2 linked regions of the Caenorhabditis elegans genome follow. The protein of the gene in region 1 interacts with the protein of each later gene in a biochemical or structural test. Each region holds a gene or a part of one and is shown in the gene's direction. Other genes may lie near its edges.

What was found. The genes of interacting proteins can lie anywhere in the genome.
Region 2: the proteins of mep-1 (region 1) and mog-1 form a complex in vitro, tested with the Caenorhabditis elegans proteins (one study listed by BioGRID).

What each region holds. Positions count from the first base shown.
Region 1 is NC_003282.8:11,523,034-11,530,932, forward strand, and holds mep-1 (MOG interacting and ectopic P-granules protein 1), read left to right. Parts: upstream 1-1,608; 5' UTR 1,609-1,609; coding exon 1,610-1,732; intron 1,733-1,778; coding exon 1,779-2,121; intron 2,122-2,169; coding exon 2,170-3,112; intron 3,113-3,156; coding exon 3,157-3,653; intron 3,654-3,707; coding exon 3,708-4,000; intron 4,001-4,071; coding exon 4,072-4,485; 3' UTR 4,486-4,921; downstream 4,922-7,899. Other genes in the region: thum-3 (THUMP domain-containing protein), read left to right, coding at 5,023-5,088, 5,135-5,484, 5,692-5,848, 6,404-6,658, 7,095-7,201, 7,248-7,375, 7,425-7,537; M04B2.7 (uncharacterized protein), read right to left, coding at 7,709-7,798, 7,845-7,899. UniProt on the Caenorhabditis elegans protein: Has a broad role in development, specifically in the genetic pathway SynMuvB that negatively regulates specification of the vulval cell fate. Required for fem-3 3'-UTR-mediated repression in the regulation of the sperm/oocyte switch.
Region 2 is NC_003281.10:9,950,321-9,958,212, reverse strand, and holds mog-1 (putative pre-mRNA-splicing factor ATP-dependent RNA helicase mog-1), read left to right. Parts: upstream 1-1,997; 5' UTR 1,998-2,000; coding exon 2,001-2,116; intron 2,117-2,173; coding exon 2,174-2,287; intron 2,288-2,330; coding exon 2,331-3,639; intron 3,640-3,713; coding exon 3,714-4,541; intron 4,542-4,711; coding exon 4,712-5,253; intron 5,254-5,310; coding exon 5,311-5,482; intron 5,483-5,710; coding exon 5,711-6,025; 3' UTR 6,026-6,153; downstream 6,154-7,892. Other genes in the region: alx-1 (Apoptosis-linked gene 2-interacting protein X 1), read right to left, coding at 1-590, 641-855; K03H1.11 (F-box domain-containing protein), read left to right, coding at 6,250-6,520, 6,634-6,929, 6,978-7,301. UniProt on the Caenorhabditis elegans protein: Probable ATP-binding RNA helicase involved in pre-mRNA splicing.

The sequences.
Region 1 (7,899 bases):
AATACAGTAACCCGTCGAGAATGAATATTCGGTTCTCTATTTAGCTGCAATTGAATCTTGAAAACACAAAAATTTCAAATTGAGCGAATGTGTGGCTGAGAACCAACGTTCACTCCCTTGCTATCGAAACTGCACCTGTTGCGATTTCGTGGCGAGACCCGAGGAAATACTCAATTAATAAATACAACGGTGTCAATCCCACATTGACTGATCTTGCAAATATCTTTCTTCATTGTGTCACTTTTTTTCAGAAATGCAGTTTTTCCATTAGTTTATAGTGCCCAGCGAGTAGTATATCCTCAGAAATGTTGATCCTCATGATTATAAGGTCATTATCGTTTCAAAACATGAATAGTCATAACTTTTCTCTCACAAACTTTTCGAATGTATCCTAGAACTGCTGAATCTCACAGAAACCTAAATTACGAAATCAGGTTCTAATTTTTATCAAAAATTTACAAACCTACGAGAATTCGATTTAACTTGAGAATGAAGAAAGACGCCAACTTCAATTGAAATGCACCGAATTTAGTTCAGGTTACTATCATTTGTATTCTAGATGCAAAGGAATTCACACTTCCAGCTGATATAGCGCTGATCCTAACACGATCCTTTCAACATCTTAGATTTTCGTTTAATGTTTAATCGGAATTTATATTTAAGGCCTGTAGAAATTTCCTAGAAAACGCTATAGAAATATTTAGCTGATTCTCAAGTTTTAGGAACGGGCGTCTTCCTGGTAGAAGATAGTTCGCAGCCCATAAAGACAGCACCCGGCCTAACCGACAATGGCGGTTATGAATTTTTAGACCATTTAAGGTTATGATGGCGAGACCACAACAACCCGTCGCCACGCACGTCACGCTCACAAAACACTCATTCATGCGCTCACGGAACGCTCACACACTCATGACATACACACATCATTTCGCCTCACACACCGCGCCGTCGCCATCCGCACCGCCCGGGTGGGACGTGTTCAAACTTTTCGGTTTTCGTAATTAATAGTGAGCCCCGGTTTATTCGCTTTGAGAATCAGTATAATGGATATATCAGATTGTGTAATTAGGTTGCGTGCTTGAACTTTTAAAATTAACTGTTTTAAATTTATCTGCCTTTATCGTTACAGTAAATCATTTTGATGAACTTTTCGGATGAATCATAATGAAGTACGCAGCGCTCTAACAAAATGTGTTTGTAAATTCCAATTGCTACAAGTTGCCCGGCTTATTTTTTGGTGATTGAAGCATGATTCTGTTGACGCTCCCGACGCGGAATACCAGGACGGACCGATGAGAGAGTACTGCCAGTGAAGAGACGCATGCGAGCAGGACGAGTGCTGCTCACCCTTCTTCTCAGCGTCGGCGGCTGCGACCAGCGGCCGAGGAAGGGGAGGAGAGAGGCCGATTTGGCTGCGTACCACGTTTGATACTCAGTCACTTACCACAGCTGGTTCTCTTGTGCGTTCAAATCTGGCTTGCCGCGCGCGCGCATTTTATTCCTACCAGTTTGAATCTCCCACCTCTCCGACTGTAACTGTCCTAATTTGCTTCCTTCTCATCACTCTCTCTTTGCCTATTTCTCACTATCTAGACTCTATTTTTCCAGAATGGTCACCGCCGACGAGACGGTACTCGCCACAACGACCAACACCACTTCCATGTCTGTGGAACCAACGGATCCGAGAAGCGCTGGTGAATCGTCCTCAGATTCGGAGCCAGACACAATTGAGGTGAGGAAAAGTTTTGGGAATTTAAATCTGAATAAAACGTTTTCAGCAGCTGAAGGCAGAACAGCGCGAAGTGATGGCCGACGCGGCGAATGGTTCCGAAGTCAACGGAAATCAAGAGAACGGAAAAGAGGAAGCGGCATCTGCAGACGTGGAAGTGATCGAGATAGATGACACCGAAGAGTCTACGGATCCCTCACCTGATGGATCTGATGAAAACGGTGATGCTGCATCTACATCGGTTCCAATCGAAGAGGAAGCGCGTAAAAAGGATGAGGGGGCTTCCGAAGTGACTGTGGCATCATCTGAGATTGAACAAGACGATGATGGCGATGTTATGGAAATCACTGAGGAGCCGAACGGAAAGTCGGAGGATACTGCCAACGGAACAGGTGTGTTTTATAATTTTACCAAGTTTAATTTTAACTTTCTATTTTCAGTTACTGAGGAGGTGCTAGATGAAGAGGAGCCAGAACCTTCCGTAAACGGAACAACTGAGATCGCTACAGAGAAAGAGCCAGAAGATTCTTCAATGCCTGTCGAACAGAATGGGAAGGGTGTGAAGCGGCCTGTCGAATGCATCGAACTCGACGACGACGATGATGACGAGATTCAGGAAATTTCTACCCCTGCCCCAGCTAAAAAAGCTAAAATTGATGATGTCAAGGCGACAAGCGTTCCAGAAGAGGACAACAATGAGCAGGCGCAGAAGAGATTGCTCGACAAGCTGGAAGAGTATGTGAAGGAGCAGAAGGATCAACCATCCAGCAAAAGCCGAAAAGTTCTGGACACTCTTCTCGGAGCAATCAATGCGCAAGTTCAAAAGGAGCCTCTGTCGGTTCGGAAGCTGATCCTGGACAAAGTTCTCGTTCTCCCAAACACAATATCATTCCCACCAAGTCAAGTTTGCGACTTATTGATTGAGCACGATCCCGAAATGCCTTTGACGAAGGTTATCAACAGGATGTTTGGAGAAGAAAGACCAAAGTTGAGTGATTCCGAGAAACGAGAGAGAGCTCAGCTGAAACAACATAATCCTGTTCCAAATATGACAAAACTGCTCGTGGACATTGGACAGGATCTCGTTCAAGAAGCTACCTATTGTGATATAGTTCACGCGAAGAATCTTCCAGAGGTGCCAAAAAATCTTGAAACCTATAAGCAAGTCGCTGCGCAGTTGAAACCAGTTTGGGAGACATTGAAACGCAAAAATGAGCCGTACAAGTTGAAAATGCATCGATGCGACGTCTGTGGATTCCAGACGGAATCAAAGCTGGTTATGAGCACTCACAAGGAGAATTTGCACTTCACAGGATCCAAATTCCAGTGCACCATGTGTAAAGAGACGGACACGAGTGAGCAAAGAATGAAGGATCACTACTTGTAAGTTTTTTTTTTTTCATCTTTCAATATTCATTTAATTACAGCGAAACTCATCTTGTTATTGCAAAATCGGAAGAGAAGGAGTCCAAGTATCCATGTGCAATCTGCGAAGAAGACTTCAATTTCAAAGGTGTCCGTGAGCAGCATTACAAGCAGTGCAAGAAGGACTACATTCGCATTCGAAACATCATGATGCCGAAGCAAGACGATCATCTCTATATCAACAGATGGCTCTGGGAGAGGCCCCAATTGGATCCCAGCATTCTTCAACAGCAGCAACAAGCTGCTCTTCAGCAAGCTCAACAAAAGAAGCAACAGCAACTTCTGCATCAACAGCAAGCAGCACAAGCTGCAGCCGCTGCGCAACTCTTACGGAAGCAACAATTACAACAGCAACAACAACAGCAACAGGCTCGTCTTCGTGAGCAACAGCAAGCGGCCCAATTCCGGCAAGTGGCTCAACTGCTGCAACAACAATCAGCGCAGGCTCAACGTGCACAGCAGAATCAAGGAAATGTGAATCATAACACTCTGATTGCAGGTAATAGCTAAACATATTTTAAATAAGTATTTTGTATAATTATTTATATTTCAGCAATGCAAGCGTCGTTGCGTAGAGGTGGTCAACAAGGAAATTCGCTGGCAGTTTCTCAACTTCTCCAAAAGCAAATGGCAGCTTTGAAGTCGCAACAAGGAGCTCAACAACTTCAGGCTGCGGTGAACTCCATGAGAAGCCAGAACAGTCAAAAGACGCCAACACACAGAAGTTCGAAACTTGTTACTACGCCGTCTCATGCTACTGTTGGCTCTTCTTCAGCTCCCACGTTTGTATGCGAAATTTGTGATGCGTCAGTGCAGGAAAAGGAGAAGTATCTACAGCATCTTCAGGTAATTTTAAGAAACGTTTCTATTTCAATTTCAAAACCGATTATTAAATATCTTAAACATCACATTTTCAGACTACTCATAAGCAGATGGTTGGAAAAGTGCTGCAGGACATGTCGCAAGGAGCTCCACTGGCATGTTCTCGATGCCGTGACAGATTCTGGACTTATGAAGGGTTGGAGCGGCACTTGGTGATGTCGCATGGTCTCGTCACTGCTGATCTGCTCCTCAAAGCGCAAAAGAAGGAAGACGGAGGTCGATGCAAGACATGCGGCAAGAACTATGCGTTCAACATGCTTCAACACTTGGTAGCTGATCATCAAGTGAAGTTGTGCTCGGCTGAAATCATGTACTCGTGCGATGTGTGCGCGTTCAAATGCTCGAGTTATCAGACTCTGGAAGCCCATCTCACTTCAAATCACCCAAAAGGAGATAAGAAGACATCAACACCAGCAAAAAAAGATGATTGTATTACTCTGGATGATTAATAGGAAAACGAATGGCTTATCCCGTTCTACGAATGAGTGCTGGAAACATTCTTCACAATGATCTCAATTATTTCTCTTATTCTTTACATTCAATCATTTTAAATCACCAGTTCTCCCACTTTCATTGATATACACATTCTATTGCGGGTTCCGGAACCGAAATCAATCAGTACTTTACTTTATTTCCCCAATTTTTCTCTTCATGATATCTGGTTTATTCTCGCATCTTCCCCTACCTTCAAAACTCCCTATTTTTTTTTCAAAACCTAACTACCCCACAATTATCATGTAAAATCAAATTGCAATTCCCCATAAGACAGATCAGTATACACTTTCACTTCATACGTCTGTTGTTCTCCCCCATCTCATACTTTTTTTACCATTTGTCCAGTTAAGATTTTTGGAAGATATCTATCATATAAATATTATCACCTTTACAAACCATTCTTTTTGAAACTATTTTCAGAAATAAGATTCAGATTTTCTCATAATATTTGGAGGAATCTATTTCAACAGATACGAAAGATATTCAGACAAATGACAGACTCCGTTGAAATCTGTGCTGCTGTCATCACCGGTTTTGAAAAAGTTGCAGCAAAAGAGGTAAATCCTGAAAACTAGATAAAATATCTTACTCGAGTTCCTTCAGATTTCAAAATTATTTTCGCCTAAAAAATGCCATCCAGGACGTGGAAATGTAAGATTTTCAATAGATCTGGAACGTGTAAACGAGACTCTGCAACTTCGATCAATCGATAATCTTTATATGGTTTTTTATGAAGAAACAATTGAAAAGCTGTCTGAAATGCAAAAAGAAGATGCATTGAAAACTATTCAATCGCAAATTTCATTTTGTAACTGGAAATTGGCAATTGAAGCTTATCAATTGGCACGTGGAAACGCGATTAACGGAGGAAGTGAAAAGATTTTGAAACAGATTCAACAATTTAAAAAAGATCGAATATATAGTGAAGTTACGGACGATTCACCCAAGTTTAGGTAATTTTTGAAATCAATATCAAAAATCCTTATTAAAATTTTCAAAAAAAATTAAAAATTCGAAATTTTATTGTGGTTTTAAACTGAAAAAATTTGGTACATCTCACAAAAATTACAATTCAAAATTTTAGTTTTGAAATAAAATTTCAATTATTTTTTTTCCTAATAATTTTTATTTTTCAAAAGTTATGATGACTTTTTTTTCAGAGTAACATGCAAACGATGTGGAGAGAAAGAGATTCACAAATTCAGTTCAATGGATGCTGCTTCGAAGTTTGGAGCTGAAATTAATAATGCTTTTGGTTGGAAATGTAGTGTCAAAGAGTTCGATATAGAAGTAGTATTAAGGATTGATCGGAATAATGTAAGATCGGTGTACCTGCAATTTTACAAAATGAGATAGTGTTCTCCCAATCAATGGTGGAATTTTTCGATTTTTTTCAGTGAAAATCGAAAAACGAAAATTTTTGATTTTTCGATTTTCAAAAACCAAAAAAAAAATTCAGAAAATCAACCATAAAATATGATTTTTTTTAAAATCTAATATATTGATATTTAGATAAGAAAAAACATAAAAATTTTCTAAAAAGAGGAATAATGACCAAAATATTAAGATAATTTTTGAAAATCGAAAAAACGATAAAATACATTTTTTAATTTTTCGATATTTGAAAAATCGAAAAATTTTCGCACCCTTGCTCCCAATATCTCTCATTAAAATTTAGGAATTTGCTTTATCTGAAAATAGCTAGCATTTTAGTTGGAAAAAATTTTCAGATAAATCAAATTTTTTAAATACAGTATTCTATCAAGAACTTTTAATGAAAAAAATTGGGAAAATATTCCACGCTGGCTCATTTTGTAGAATTTCTGGTCAGCTGTTTTCTTTGAATTTCTTCTAATTCATTCATATTTTCAGATGACAGTAATGATGGCTCTGAACGAAGAATCTCTATTCAAACGTAATATCTGTGCGTATGGACCAACTACAATGAGATCTACAATGTGTCATTGCATGCTTCAATTAGCTGATATAAAACCAGGAGATATTATTGTCGATGCAATGTGTGGAGGTGGCTCTATTCCGATTGAAGGGGCAATTTCATGGAAAAATTCATTATTTTTGGGTGGAGATAATCATGAGATGGCAATGAGCAGATGTCTACAGAATTGGGTAAGAAAAAACGAAAATTTGAATTACCGCGGGTTCGTCTCGAAACTCCGCCCATTTCCGTGTTTTTATCATTTTCGGCGTAAATTATTCGTTTCGTCTCGCATTTGGCGTTCGGCAATTTTTTGTCGACAAATTCAGCAAATTGCCGATTTGCCGTTTTCCGAACATCAATTTGCCGAAAGTCTTTAGAGGGATAAAACTGTGCCTTTTTAAAACATTTCCTGTTAAAATTGAAATTCCATAATTTCACAAAAAATGTGCAAAACCATAGTTTCCCAAAATTTTTCGGTAGATTGCCGGTTTGCCGATTTGCCGGAAAAATAGTTGTTTTTTTAAATTAGAAGCAAAACGAAGAATTTGTGTCGAAATTATTTCAAAAATGAGTAGATTAGCCACAATTGAAAATTTGCCATTTTTAAATAATAAATATTTTAAGTCGGCGAATTCATCGAGCTCCCGATCAAACTGCGACTTTCTCACTTGGGATGCTACAAATCTTCCACTACGCGATAATTCAATCGATGCACTTGTCACGGATCTACCGTAATCATTTCAACGATTTTTCCACTTAAAAACATTTATATTTCAGATTTGGCAAGAAGATAGGAAGTACCACAGATAACAGGTTACTGTACCCGAGGCTTCTCGCAGAATGGAAACGAGTTTTAAGGAAAGGTGGACGATTAGTCTTGATGACTCATGATAAACGGAGTTTAGGTATTGTGAAAAAACTTTAAAAACCAGAATAATTATTTAATATTTGTAGAAAACTCATTCCTAAAAGATCGGTCTTCATGGCAAACTGACGCGTCTCATGTTGTCAACGTTGGTGGATTATCATGTCTTTGTATCTGCATGATAAATAGAAAATCTGATTAGATTTCAAATTTTTAACATGCTTGTTTTGTTTATAAAATTCAATGAATAAATCAAAAATTCATTGGCTGGTTTCACATAAAAGGCACAAAATTTAAAAGTGAACATGATCAAATAGAAGACACCGGTTTGAAAAGAGAAATGGCGAAGATGGATGAGAGGAATCACGAAAATCTAAACTCGATGAATGAAGTGCAATGATTTTTTATTGTTATTATTATTGATTTTTTCGATTGTTGGTAGTTGAGCAAAATGAAATAATACCTATAAAAAATTGTTCAAATATATTTTTATTTGATTTAATACTTACTTCACTTGCATTCACTGCTTTCAGTACATCACTGTTACATCGAACTGATTTTGCT
Region 2 (7,892 bases), on another chromosome or scaffold:
ACACTTCTGATTGATGATACTGGGCGAGTGCTTGGTAGGCGAGATTTTTTCCACTAACGATGGCACTCCAATCTTTGTCCCATAGCCCTCGAACAATATCCTTAGACATCATTTTTTGTGCTTCCGAGTAAAATTCGGCAACTTGAGCAGATATTTTGACCATTGATGTAGCCTTCATCTTATCCTTGTGGCCTTTAATATAGATCGCCTCTTGTGCCTGAGCAGTCATTAATGCAGAAAGAGCAGCAAGTGTATCTGGCATGAGATCAGGAGTTGGTTCCTGTTGAACCATTCCGAGAACAACATCACGAAGACGGGCGAATACTCCAGCAGATTGTTGGAATAGTTTTGCAGATACTTTAATTTCATCATCGGTATGGAATTGTTGAGCAGCTCCGATTTGAGACATCAACGATCCGATATTGAACAGAACGGCAGCACGTTCAAAGGATCCGTCAGACAGGGATAAGGATGCTCTGCTTGAGAAGAGGCTTCCTTTGTCGAATGCATCCTTCCATTTGAAAACAACTGGATTTTGAGTTGCAGAGATTATAATTTTGTTTTCAATGGCAACGAGTTGATCATAATATCTGTAAAAAACAATTATTTCAAAGATATTCTTTTTTTTTAAATTTATTACCTAGTCAAAACATCGAGAGCACTTTGATGCTTGTCGAGAGGCTGACAGCAAGCTTTTGAACGGAGTTTATTAAGTTCCTGAACAGCTTCGGCGACATCTGAGCGGTTATTATCGGATGTATTGTAGACATTGTCGATATAGCTTGTAAGTGGCTTCACAAGATCCACTTCATTAGTCGATTTCAGCGGTGCGCTGAGAAAGCCGAATGTAGCCATTCTGAAAGAAAATTAATACTAATTTGAAGTGAGAAATAAAAAAAATAAAATAGAAAGATTCTCTTTAAAGAATTTTTCTGAAATTTTGACAAACTGTGTTTCAATTAAAATGTGAAACATTAATCAAGAAAACCAATGAATTTAGCAAAAAAAACACGAAGATGTTACGAGAATTCAAAAATAAAGTTTAGTTTTAGTAAAAGTTTAATTTTTACAGTTATATTCAGTTAGCAGGGTCAATTTTCTATAATTTAACGCAAAATCCCCAGCCAATTCACTCCATCCTTAATTTGAGGTGAGCAATAGGAAAATACGAAGCTTCTCGTTAATGAAGGACAAGAAAAATGTAATAGAAAGTAAGTTCATCACATCGATTCACACTCCTAATCATTCAACAAGAAGGGAAAAACGTCATTTCAGACATTAGAATGCAAATAACGTTCGTGATACGAGTGATGAGTCATCGATGCTGCCGGCATGGTGACCGCCCCTCTCGATTTCGCAATTCGGGTTGCAAATAGAATTGAGGTGAGAAAAAAAGAAAATCAATAGATTTCAAAATTAGTAAACGTATGATTTGATATGAAATAACAATTTGAATTCTAAATATATTGAGTTTATTTTAAGCTAGGGCCTAAGCAATCCACTCTCTCGAAACAACTTTCAACACTTCAGCTCTCCGATCTGTTGCTTCCGGGGTTCTCAAGCGCTTGAGTTAACAAACAAATCTATAGAAATTGAACCGTTTAAGTGGGTATCGGTGGTTGATGATACAGAGGGAAATTTGAAGAACATCAAAAATTCGGATTCAATAGTGAAAACTGGTGGCATTGAAGTAGATTGTGATTTTCTACTGATTTATAGGCTATTTTTTGTTTGAAGAGACCTCCGGGAAACCTTTAATGAGAGAAAAGAAAAGAAAAAGATGCAACAAGAGAGAAAGAGTGTTGAGAAAATTGAAGAAAAAACAAAAAATTCGCGAAAAATGTTTTTATGAAAGAGCGCTCTATCGAGACACAAAAGTCTGAGTCTCTTTTCATAATGCGTTCTCTCTCGCTCTCTCATTTTTTATTTATTTTTTATTTATTTTCGATTTCCTTTTCGAAATTAAATTAGTTTTTCTTAAATTCTTTATTTTTTAGTAAATGTCGGATAAACGGGCAGATGGCCGCCTCGAAGGAACCAGTGACACATTTGGTGGATTGGTTATTAAAAAGAAAAAAGTAGAGGGAGATTCAAAACCAACCGAACCATCCGGGAAGTGAGTAACTAAATATATACTTTAATTTTCTTCAAATAAAAACAATTTAAATTGCAGAAGCTTGCTTGGGCTCGATAGATTGGCGTCTACAAAGCGGGAACACGCCAGAAAACGTCTTGAGGATGATGACGATCGAGGTGTCACGGAATCGGTTCGAAAAGGAATTGAAAAGTGATTCAAACATTAAATTAGCGAAGTAAATTGATGATTTCAGAGTTCATGAGAAGCATCGAGATCGTGACGACCGTGGAATGAAATACAAAAGTCGGGATGATGATCGCAGACGAGACCGTGACAGATCAGAACGAAGAGAGCCGAGTAGTAGAAGAGGTTGGAAAGATCGAAGTGGAGATCAGACTCCTCGCTTTAAAGTTCCCGATACACCATCCAGAATGAGCTGGGATCAAGATGATCGTGAAGGATCTTCCAGAAAACGAAATAGTTGGGATATGCCGACTCCGCGGGGTGAAAGAGACAGAAAACGATATATGGATTCGGAACGAAGCATTTCAAGTGCATGGAGAAGTGAAAGAAGGAATAGAGATGATGAGAAGAGACGGAGACATCGAAAACCAGAAGATTCGGTACGAAGTGTTAAAGAAGAAAAAGCAGAGCCCACATTTCATGATGACGAAGAGAGAGCTCAATGGGAAGAGGAACAGAAGAATTTGGACAGAGAATGGTATGATAATGAAGGAGCATTTGATGATGAGTATAATCCATTCAATAAGGTTTCTGACGAATTTGTGGAAAAACGAGAAAAGCAATGGCAGGAGAAAACTCAGAAGCCGAGACTTACAGTGAAGCAGCAGGCGATCAAAAGAGAGAATGAGTTATGGGAGAACAATCGACTGCATAGATCAGGAGTCGTCGCGATGGCTGATGAATTATCAAGTATTTTTGAAGATGAAACTGATGAGAATCGTGTCACAATTCTCGTTCAAAACATTGTTCCTCCATTCCTTGATGGTCGAATTGTTTTCACTAAACAAGCACAACCAATCATTCCGGTTGTTGATACAACATGTGATATGGCTGTTTCAGCAGCAAGAGGAAGTGTTGCAGTACGAAAACGGAGAGAAGTTGAAGATAGGAAGAAGGCTCAAGATAAGCATTGGGAGTTGGCAGGATCAAAACTCGGAAATTTGATGGGTGTTAAAGAGAAAAAAGATGAAACTGCTGATCCAGAAGACGATGATTCTGGAAATTACAAAGAATCTCATCAATTTGCATCTCACATGAAAGATAATGAAGCAGTTTCGGATTTTGCGATGGAAAAGTCTATCAAGCAGCAAAGAGAGTATTTGCCTGTATTTGCGTGTCGGCAGAAGATGATGAATGTGATTCGTGAGAATAATGTGGTTATCATCGTCGGAGAAACAGGATCAGGAAAAACAACTCAGTTGGCACAATACCTACTTGAAGATGGATTTGGTGATTCGGGACTCATCGGATGTACTCAGCCGAGACGTGTCGCTGCAATGAGTGTTGCTAGACGTGTAGCTGATGAAATGGGAGTGGATGTTAGTTTCATTTTTGAGATAATTATGTATTTCACCACTGTTTTAAGAAAACAATTTTATTTTAATTTTTACAGCTAGGACAAGACGTTGGTTACGCGATTCGATTCGAAGATTGTACATCAGAAAAAACAATAATCAAGTACATGACAGATGGTATTCTGCTTCGTGAATGTCTTGGTGATGGAAGTCTTGATCAATATTCAGCAATTATTATGGACGAAGCTCACGAACGTTCACTCAATACAGATGTACTCTTTGGTTTGCTCAGAGAAGTGATTGCAAAACGAGCTGATCTGAAGCTAATCGTTACTTCTGCTACTATGGATGCTGATAAGTTTGCAGACTTTTTCGGAGGAAACTGTCCCACTTTTACAATTCCTGGAAGAACATTCCCAGTCGAACTGTTTCATGCGAGAACTCCTGTTGAAGATTATGTGGATGCTGCTGTTAAACAAGCTGTTACAATTCATCTGGGTGGTATGGACGGAGATATTTTGATTTTCATGCCAGGACAAGAAGATATTGAGTGCACTTGTGAAATGATCAAAGAGAAGCTTGGTGAACTTGATGAAGCTCCTCCACTTGCTGTTCTACCAATCTATTCCCAGCTTCCAAGTGACTTACAAGCCAAGATTTTCCAAAGAGCACCCGGTGGAATGCGGAAAGCAATTGTGGCTACAAATATTGCAGAGACATCGCTCACTGTCGACGGAATTCTATTTGTAATTGATCCGGGTTTCTGTAAGATGAAGGTGTACAATCCAAGAATCGGTATGGATGCTCTATCGATCTTCCCAGTGTCACAAGCATCAGCGAATCAACGAACTGGTCGTGCCGGACGTACTGGACCAGGACAGTGTTATCGTTTGTATACTGAAAGACAATTTAAAGATGAGCTTTTGGTAAGTTTGAGGTGAATCTCACAAATCTGGAGTGAGCGACGAATGCTAAAAATTTCATGGGAAAAATATCGAAAACGACAAATTTTTAATTTTATTTTTTAAAAATATATATTAAAAAATATATATATATGCTCAGCCCTGTTTCAAATAAAAACAAATTTATTTTTCAGAAGAGTACTGTACCTGAAATTCAAAGAACCAATCTCGCCAATGTAGTGCTTCTTTTAAAGTCTCTCGGAGTGGATGATCTTTTGAAATTTCACTTCATGGATGCACCTCCACAGGACAATATGCTGAATTCAATGTATCAACTTTGGACTCTTGGAGCTCTCGATAACACTGGACAGCTCACGCCAATGGGACGAAAAATGGTTGAATTCCCACTAGATCCAACTCTGTCGAAAATGCTCATTATGTCGGCTGAAATGGGATGCAGTGATGAAGTTCTGACGATTGTTTCGATGTTGTCAGTGCCCGCAATTTTCTTCAGACCAAAAGGACGAGAAGAAGAAGCTGATGCCAAGAAAGAAAAGTTCCAAGTTCCCGAATCGGATCATCTCACTTTCTTAAACGTCTATATTCAATGGAGAACACACAAATATTCTGCAAAATGGTGTGCCGACAACTATTTACACGTAAAAGCTTTGAAAAAGGTTCGAGAAGTTCGTGCTCAATTGAAGGAAATTATGCAAGATCTCAAGCTTCCATTGATGTAGGTTTTTTTTATTTGAAAGTTTCTTAGAACTACAATTTTATAAAATTATTTCAGCTCAAACGGAAGTGAATGGGATATTGTGAGAAAATGCATTTGCTCTGCGTATTTCCACAATGCAGCTCGTCTTAAAGGAATTGGTGAATATGTCAATGTTCGTACCGGAATTCCATGCTTCCTTCATCCAACTTCAGCTCTTTTTGGAATGGGTTTCATGCCTGATTACGTGGTAAGCAGGGCTGAATCTGAAGAAAAAAAAATGCTGAATCGGTATTTCAAATATTTCGGCCAAATTGCACTCTATTTTAAATTTTGAATATGATTTTTGGAAAAAAAGTAACACTTAAAAATTTATGAATGTTTCAGTATATCCTCTTTTTCGAAAAAAAGAAGCGGAAAATAAATTATTCGCCAAAAACACATTCCTTTAAACTTTAAATTAATATTCTAAATTAAGGTGTACCACGAATTGATTATGACAGCCAAAGAATATATGCAATGTGTAACTGCTGTCGATGCAATCTGGCTTGCTGAACTTGGACCCATGTTCTATTCGATCAAAGAATCGAAACAATCACGCAAAGAACTGAAAATGGAGAGTGTCCGAACGGTTGAAACGATGGAAGCAGAGATGCGAGAGGCGCAGAAAGAAATGGAACGGCGGAAGGAAGAAAGTGACAAGGCGTTCAAACGACCAGAATCTTCCAGGCGTGTTGTTGAAGTCGGATCGAAATCGGCCAGATCGGAGAGAAGAAAGCTGTGGGGTCTTTGATCAATTACTCTCTTTCTCTGTCTTATTTTCTCGTGTAATCGGGTGTCACTGTTAATACTCCAGTTCGATTTTCTATATACTCTGTTGCAATTTTATTTTCAGAAGTTTATTCCATAAACCTTATATTTATTTTTACCTTTTTCAATTTTTCCCACTTTCGGTACATTTCCTTTTTTACTGTATGTTTTTCAACAACAAAAAAAACTCAGAACAAAATTTTCAGAATGATTCTCGGTGATATGCCATTGGAAATCATCCGAGAAATCCATAAAGGGTTAAAACCTACGGATCTTGTTAATTCAGCTTTAAGTAATATCGATGTGATGAGAGTTATCGTAGATATGATTCCAAAAATCCGTGCTATAAAGATTGGAATCACAAGTGAGAAATTGAATGGAAAATGTGATGGAGACGAATTTGAGCTTCATATTCCAAAAGTAAATCGAGAAGAAATTCAAGAACTTTTACATTTTCTAATGCCACAAATAGTTAACGGTATTTATTTTCTTATTCGTCTATTTTACTTTTATCTAACTGTTTGGATACAAATTGAAACATTAAAAAAAAATCATTCAATTCTCGAGTATAATTGCCAATTTGATTTTCAGAAATTCATTCCCTTCAATTGGAAAATGAATTAGTCGGCGACGAGATTTCTGATGAACAGCTAGCTCAACTGCTCCAATTGACAAAAAATGCTCCACTAAAGCAACTGGCACTATCTGAAATTGATTTGGAACGAATAAATACATGGACTCTCGCTTTACTTGCTGGTTATGATAAGCTTGAGAAAGTTGAGATTGAAGGATGCAATTTGGGAGGTGACACTGAAGCAAAGTTGCTCAGATGCTTTCAGGCATCTTTCCAGACTCTTACTCAAATTGATTTGAAAGGGACTTCACAGGTGAATATGATACATTTAAAGGAATCTCAATAACAATTGAATTTTCAGATCACAGATCACTTCTCCCAACGCGTTTCCCGTTCATGCCCGAATCTTGCGTACTTCAGGATCTCCGACTGCCCACGAGTTACCACTCTATCGGCTCTTCCATTCATCGAATCGACCGCATTTCGTCTATCCGACAAACTTGATGTGCACATGGACAATACTGAATTCGATGCGAATCAACTTCAAAACTTTATGAGATCTCCACTTTTTGGATCACAATCTGCTGAATGGAGTCTCAAGCCAGTTGTTGTTCCTCTTGGTTACGATAAGCCGGCTGTTCTTGCTCTCCACTCGAGCAGGAAATGTGTATTAATTTTTGTTTGAGATTTTATGTTCTCTTGGTCTTTTGAACAAGAAAAAGAGTTCCATAGCTTAAAAAAGCATTGTAGTATTTGTACATTACCCGTTCAGTTTACTTAAATTCGAAAACTTGTAATTTTAGCTCCGAAAATACGGTGTCCGGTCTCGAATCGACTGGTTTTCTCATGCGCGCCTTTAAGGGGTACTATAGTATCTTTAAAATGTATTAATAACATGTGAGAACTTTTTGAAATATATCAAAGTTTGAATAAAATGCAAATTCTGCTATAAAAAAGAGTTGTGAACTACAGTAACCTCCTTAAAAGCGCACGCTTTTCTGAATTTAATTCGTTTCGAGACCTGGTAAATATTTTGTGGAGCTAAAATCGCACGTTTTCGATTCTGTGTAATACTATGTATTTAAAATTGTAAATTCCTGGTGTACCTTCAATTGTATTATTCTAAAACTATGTGTCTATTCTTAATATGTAAAAACTAGTAATAATGAACACATTTTTTAGATTCATTCCGTCTTTTCAAACCTTTGCCGTCTAATTCTCTTTTCCTATTACACCACACGATGCCAGCTCCGATAATAACGTGGACACAACACAA